2 linked regions of the Oryctolagus cuniculus genome follow. The protein of the gene in region 2 interacts with the protein of the main gene of each other region in a pairwise test. Links are inferred from orthologs where the notes say so. Each region holds a gene or a part of one and is shown on either strand. Other genes may lie near its edges.

Region 1 (3,746 bases), on a different chromosome or scaffold from region 2:
ATCCTTCACAATTCCACTTCCTGTTGACTCTTAAGACCCTCAGTTGGCCCAGTGCAACCCTGTCAGAATGGAATACGTGATGAAGCAGTCCCTATAAAAGTGCTACTGACAACTTGAATCTACCTCCCAGGAGTGCAGACTTTTACACCTCCATTTTAAGAAGGTTCACTACTAGCACACTTAATCCAAAAGATGTTATCTCTAGGTGGAATGTCGGACACGAAAGAAAATAAGTGGGTGTGAGTAGGAGGAAGTGGGAGTGTGGTGGGCCCAGGAGGAAGAGGAACTTTTCTGATATCCAGAACATGTAAGACAGAAAAACATCTCCTCCGTGTAGTCTAAGCCCATACCCAGACGTTGACTAAGTCCCTGATACGTCTCTGTCTCTGGATAAGGGACCCTGGTCCTACTGCTGTGGGGTCATGCCCTAGAGAACCAAGGAGCATGGTTCAGATTACTGAGGGAGAATTTCAAGTTAGCCAATGATTGGTTTTAAGTGACCCCAATCTGTGCAGTGTTCCACCTTGCATGCTTTCAATATGCTCCTTAGATTTTTATATTAGCCAGATGGCATCCCAATTATCACTTACAGCCTTTTAAAATAAATCACTATCACTTCTCTGAAAGTAACAACATGATCTTATGCAATCCAAACTTCTTGGGGAGTGTCCAAAAACAAGATACCACATTCTCTCCAGCATTTAACCATAAAACCTTTACCAAAAAAACAAAAAGCTATGTGTCATCTGGAACTAAGTGTCTCCATTTTAAGCTGCTATGCCTGTAACTGTCTCTGGGTACTTAGCAAAACAGGGCTCCTGACAATCAGGCCAAGTGAGCTCTTGGTGTTTGTAAGCAGAGCAAAAGGAGAAGAGCAGTACCTATGCACCTGAGTCAGGACGTCAAGGCCTCACGTTTGGCCTGGAGATTTGGGCACACATCTCTCCACTTCTCTCAGGCTTTTAAAAAAGCAAAGTTGCAGCACAGGTTACCAAGCAATTAATGGCTGCAGGTCCAAATGAGTATTTCATACCACCTCAGCTGGAATCAACCCTAGTGTTTGCTTTTAAGCAGCTCCTCTTAGGTGAGCTCAGTGCTAGACACCAAGACAGCAGCAACCCAAACAGAGCAACAAAAGAAATGGGAAACAAGAGGGTGTGAGAGCACTAGAGAGACCTGCTCTTCCGTCACCAAGGCATTGAGACAGTAGTAGGACTGGGAGATCTAGTGATACCCATTTCTTTATTTATTCGCTGTTTTAGAGAACTTCAGCAAACAGCTCCCAAGTTAGTTGTGCTTCCTCTATCAACCTTGCAACATTTGCTTTTAAATGTAGTTGATTATACAACTGTACACATGCCTTTTCCCTGAACAGTTGTTTAGAGGGACTTTTGCCAAAGGTCCCGGAAGTAAACATAAACATCATGAATTCGCCTAGAGGAAGATGACATATATGTACTTCACACACACATATATATATATAATACAAACTACACATTAAATATAGTATTAGCAAAATATACTACCTTTTACTTCTTAAGTTATATAGTAAAATATTAGGAAAACATTGAAGAAGGGACAAGAATGAAAACTATGAACCTTAACTATCTAACAGAACAAATACGGTGCCTGCTGGCCTTGAGAACAGCACACTCCTTCATTTGATCTTTTAATGGTGTCAGTTGCCCTAATCTACAGCTTTAACCATAGGACCAGATGACTCATTCCTCCTATAGCCAGATCTCTGTGCCTAGAAGCCAAGAATGACAAAGGGCATGCGAGAAAAGTTTACTCTCCTGTGTCTTAATCTGTAGAAGAGAGAGAGAGCAAGGATAAGTTTAGCCTGTTTCATCCGCATGCTGGAATTAAACTCAAGTCATTTCACATCCATCTCCTATTTGCAGTTAATGTATACAACGTGCACTCCACGAGCATTGACACCAATGTTGGCAAAAAAGCAACAAAGCTTCCTTTCTGACATGCCAAATAGATCTTTCTCAATATCTGAGCTCCAAGAACACCTATCTCGGAGCACTGAGCTCCCACAAGCAATCAGCTGCTTTTCATCTCTCTCCTGCAGCTGCTAAAACGCTGATTTCAACCTGCAAAGATTTCTGGGCCCCATCAGTCAGCACGTCTCGCGCCGTGTTCACAGCCCGATTACGGGAGACAATGCATCTAATAGGAAGAGCTGCTGGAGACGGTGGAAGATACCTTCACGCTAGTTGCTTCCGCAGAAAAGGCATGCAAGTCTAATTTTAATGGCAAGAATCACTTACTCTGTTACAGCGGTGCTGCTGAAGGAATTATCCTGAAGGCTGAAACAGAAACAAGAAAACATCAGCCAAGTCTGGCCGGGGAGCCGTCTCCCTGATTGCTCTCCGGGAGTTAGAGCGCATACACAAACATGGCATTGCAAGGCAAGTCTCAGGGCTCGCCCGGCACGCTCTACCTTGGGCTGCTGTCTGCACATGCTCGTAACGACACCCCCAGCAGGGGCCCAGCTGCACAGGCGAACCACAAAGCCCGGCAGCCCGCGAGGGTGCGGGGACCGAGCTGGGCGGGGCGCGGCGGCGGCTCGACCGAGACCCCGGCTGGCAGCGAGGGGCACCTGGAGAGTTCCCGCGCGCCCCCAGCCTAGCCAGCCTTCGCTGCACGGCTCTCTGGGCCAGCCACCCCCACCCCGGGGCCGGCCGGCGACGTCCTCCTGTTTCTGCCTAGGTGCTGAAATACCCCGGAGACCTGCTTTCCTCCAGACGTCTTCTACCAGTCTGACTGAGCTACCCCCCCTCCACTCCCAATCCCCAGGGCTGGAGGCTCGCCGAGAAGCATCCATCCTTCAGAAAAAGCCGAGGGGGAGGGGGACTTCGCTGCCGGGATTTTGCTTGGTTTTTATTGTGTGTGTTCTTTTCATTGCTTAGGAGAAGAGCCGTTAAGAAGGACTGGGGCATCACTCCCGATCTGTCTGCCCCGTTATCTCAGACCCACAGAGGAAGCGCCCAGCCCGGGAGGACAGAGCTGTGAATGAGCCCACACAGGGCAAGTGGAGCATTTATTTATTACAGGCATTAGCTGGTGACTAGGGCACTTGAAAGGGGGTGGGGCTTGCTCCGCCCCAGCCGCCCGCCTGAGCTGCACCCTCACAAAGGGTGGAGAGACAGAATGGACAAACACCACCCCCTGGAAGGAAGGTAGCCATGCTGGAGGAGGGGAAAGCTGCCAGCCCCTAGTGGCTTCATGCCCCTGGGGATGTGTGTCCTGCCCTCTTTCCGTGGCTCCTTTCTCTGGTCACGTTGACCTTGATATGGAATGAACAGTCATCTGTGAAAGATGCTTATTTGAATTTTGAAGTAAGGTTCACCCCCCCCCCCCTTTTTTAATGTCTCCACTCCCAGAAGCAACTGAGATGGTGGCTTTTAGTGCAAAGTACACAAGGTGATGAGTTAATTTAAGACCGAAACCGCCAAAAATGTATTTTTAAATTTTTAAATGTTTTTTTAAATTTCTAAATTTCAAACTTAGAAATGCGGGGTTGGGGAGGTAGGGAAGCATGATCTATCAGTGCCATACTAAGTGTCATACTGTTTAATAGGTCCACCCAAAGGCTAGGAGATTATCCTTGTGCTTGACTTAGCTAAGCACAGTGGATTAGATCTTACCCATGTCGAGTTACATGGTAACTTGCACGTTTACGCACTCTGTCCAGAGGACAAAGATACCTCAGCATTCCCGGTTATACTGTATTG
Region 2 (3,479 bases):
AGAGTGTGGCTGGGGAAGTCAAACTGGCAGCTCCGTGTCCTGGCCACCATGTCCATCCCCCTGGGGGGCCACAGTCCCCACGGAGCTGCTGAGAGCAGCAGCCACGACTCAGCCCATGGTGCCCTCAGCCAGGCCTGCATGGAAAGGAAGCGCCGGCCCCGGCCCGAGCACACACCTGCAGCCACTTGGGGAAGAAGTGCTTCTCGAGGAGCCCCACGAGGCTGGAGACGGAGATCATGCCCTCCCAGTCGATCACCCAGTAGAAGGCATCCATGTGCTGCTGGTGGGGGTTGATGACCAACTCGCCCAGACACATTCCTGCAAGAGACAGCCTGGCTCGGAGGGGGCTCGGCTCCTGCGAGGCCGCAGCAGCCACGGTGAATCCCCGCCAAGCTGCCCGGCCGACCGTTCCCAAAGATCACTTTGAAGCCTTGATGTAACAATTCTTAAAAGGCGTCTTCTTCTCTAACCCAGAACAAACTCATATTTAGCATGAAATCCCACAAAAGCTTGAGAACACCGACAGCCCAGCCAAGGCCAGTGCTCGGGAAGTGCACAGGGCACCCCGAGTCCAGCACCGCCCCTGCAGACACGGCAGAGGACCCCGCGAGGTTACGTTCGGCCCCTGCACACACGGCACGGTTCTCACAGCGAGAAATTACATGTGCTACGCATTTCCACGCACTCAGAGGCCAGGGCAGCAAAGCCACCGGATACACAGAGAAGGCGTGTGGCCCGTGTCCTCACCCAGCTTGGGCACTATGTTCTTGACCATGAAGGCCTCCCAGGAGCCGGGGGTGAAGACGTCCTTCCAGGGCTGCAGGATGAGCTTGGCGGAGGAGTCGCTGGGGTGCCACTTCTGCAGCGCGCTGGACAGCTTGCTGCGGATGGGCGAATAGAGCGGCTCCAGCCGGGCCTGCATGAGCGGCAGCCACGGGTGGATCCAGGAGTGGATGGGGACGGTGTCCGTCAGTGGGTTCCAGTTCTCCACCTGCGGATGAGTGGGGAGACGCGCTTCAGAGAGTGTGGGGCGGCTGTCTGACACCCGGCGGACTTAAAGGCAAGCGCTGGTCCTGGGGGAGGAGGCCTGGCACTCTCCTGGCCAAGGGCCAAAGCCTTCTGCATGTGGATGGAGGACATGGTCTCATGGGCAACTCTGTTTCCCCACAGACGCTGACCCAAACACGGCCATGCATCTGTGATAAATCTGACAATGGCACAGTTCTAACTGTGCAGAATGGGCAGAAAGCACTGCCCCGGGGCAGGGGGTGTGGGGGCAAAGCGGAGAAGAGGGCGGGGCTGACAGCACGGGACGACAGCCACGCCGGCAGGGCCTGCTCAGTCCAGACGTCCCCGTGGTGCCGAGGTAACGAGCAGAAATGCTGGCCAGCCCCCTGGGCACCGGCGAGGGCCCACCTCCTTCTGCAGCTTGGGGAAGATGAGCTGGTCCAGGATGTTGTCCAGGACCCACGCGGGGATGATGTGCACCCAGCTGTCCAGGAAGTCCACCATCGGGTCACAGTTCCGCGGCTGCCACTGGTTGACGATGTTTCGGACAAAAGGCATCCAGACCTCCCATATCAACCTGTGGGGAGAGGCAGGGGCGGGCGGTGAAGTGCTCAGGACACTCGTCACCGCCCGCCCCCAAGAGAAGGGAGAAGACCCAGCAGGGAAAGCCGTTAGCCCCAGGAAACCGCGCTGGTCAGCCGGGCCCGCCTCTGGGCGTGCTCTGGCTGTCTGCACCTGCTCATGTCCTCGGGGATGTTCGCCGCCAGGCAGGGCAGCTTCAGGACCACAGGGCCCCTGCAGGCCACTTTCCCCCCAGAGTCCCCCCACAGCTGACGTCTGTCTCCGGGTCACAGCTTAAATGTCGCCTCTCTGGGGGAGGGGCTGGCCCCTGCTCCTCTCCGTCACTGTGAACAGTAAGCACCCTATGTCTGCACTTTCCCATCTGTCCTCTGCCCTGTGCACTGTACTGCAGACGGGGGCTGCTCCTGAGTGTGCCCAGCACCTGGCACACGCGTTGACCCAAAGCCAGCTGAATCCGTCGATGCTCCTGGGCCTCCCCCGGGCCCAGGGGCCAGCAGCAGGAGCGTGGAGCCCCACCCGCAGTACCTGTGGAAGGCTTCTCCTGAGAGGTCCTGCCCCCCCCCCCCCGCCCCGGGCCCTGGGTCCAGGGGCCAGCAGCAGGAGGGCCGAGCCCCGCCCGCAGTACCTGTGGAAGGCGTCCGCCGAGAGGTCCTGCCCGCCGTGGGACAGGAGCTGGTCATTCTCCAGGAGGCTTTTCCACTTGGAGATGATCTCGGTTCCGTACGTGCAGTCCTAGGAGGAAGGAGCAGCTGAGGGGCAGGGCCAAGCAGCCCCGGGCCCTCGGCCCAGCCTCCCCCGACGAGGGCGAGGGCGGGCAAGGCTGGGCTCCACGGCGACTCACCTTGAGGGGGTCCCAGTCCTTGAAGTAGTCCTTCATGAGCGGGTAGACGATGGCCACGGCGAGGTCCACGCGGTCGGACATCCTGTACTCCTCGTAGTACTTGTCCTGCAGGGTCTGGAAGACGCGGGCGCACTCGTCCAGCGTGAGCGGGTTGCTGCAGGCCGGCTGCAGGCGCCGTGCGCACTGCTCCACCAGCTCCAGCACCTTGCTGAGGTTGGCGATGGCGCGCTCCTCGTGCTCCAGCACCTCGGCCATCTTGTCGAGCTCGTGCGACAGGTTCACCACCATGTCCCGCTCGTACTGCAGCTGCCGGTCGTTCTGGATGATCTCCTGCTCCGTGAGCTCGATCAGCAGCTGCAGGTTGTGCTCCAGCTCGGGCAGCGCGAAGCCGGGGGCCTTGGCCTCCTTGCCCGGCACGGGCGGCGGCTGGGCCTGCAGGGGCAGCCCCTCGTCGGGCACGCTGTGCTTGTGGCTGATCTGGCTGTAGCTGTAGTAGACCTTCTGCTCCCGGCCCGTCATGTCTATGACCTGGGGGAACGGGGGGAGGCAGAGGGGCGTGGGTCAGCAGGTGGCTAAGCCTGGCCGAGAGTGAGAGCCACGCCACTCGGCAGAGCCGCAGCGGGCAGTGTTTGATAAAGTGGGGTCCGCGCAGTACTAGACTGAGGAGACTCAGGGACAAAACAAACGACGCAGCAAGCGGTTTAGGCTGCATCCCTTAGAACAAGCTGGACAGAGGATTCTTGGGAAAGCTGAGGAAACTTCAATGGGAACTGAGGACCAGTGATGCAAAAGTGATCTGACTGGAAAAGCAGAGGCTGTACTGTGTACACACCAGGCCCTGATGGCAGCAGGCAGTAAAACATCTCACTCTGCTGAAACACACTCGTGCGCATGGAAGCATCGAGAAACATGGACAGGGACGTGCGGTAAGGAGCTAGCACCTGCTCACGTTAGGTCAGGAACTCCCTGCGGCGGTTCAACTGCTACCTGGGACACCCTCATCTCCTAGAGTGTCTGAGTTCAAGTCCAGGTTCTGATTCTAATTCTA

What was found. The genes of interacting proteins can lie anywhere in the genome.
Region 1: the proteins of TFIP11 (region 2) and FAM13C interact in binary tests that used the Homo sapiens proteins (3 or more experiments, as listed by UniProt). The two-hybrid records come from large-scale screens. The link is inferred for Oryctolagus cuniculus from reciprocal best matches to the Homo sapiens genes TFIP11 and FAM13C.

Annotation. Positions count from the first base shown.
Region 1 is NC_091446.1:51,834,828-51,838,573, forward strand, and holds the start of FAM13C (protein FAM13C), read right to left. Parts: upstream 2,447-3,746; 5' UTR 2,342-2,446; coding exon 2,280-2,341; intron 1-2,279.
Region 2 is NC_091452.1:20,270,057-20,273,535, forward strand, and holds part of TFIP11 (tuftelin-interacting protein 11), read right to left. Parts: intron 2,960-3,479; coding exon 2,432-2,959; intron 2,323-2,431; coding exon 2,216-2,322; intron 1,586-2,215; coding exon 1,417-1,585; intron 992-1,416; coding exon 748-991; intron 319-747; coding exon 176-318; intron 1-175. UniProt on the Homo sapiens protein: Involved in pre-mRNA splicing, specifically in spliceosome disassembly during late-stage splicing events. Intron turnover seems to proceed through reactions in two lariat-intron associated complexes termed Intron Large (IL) and Intron Small (IS).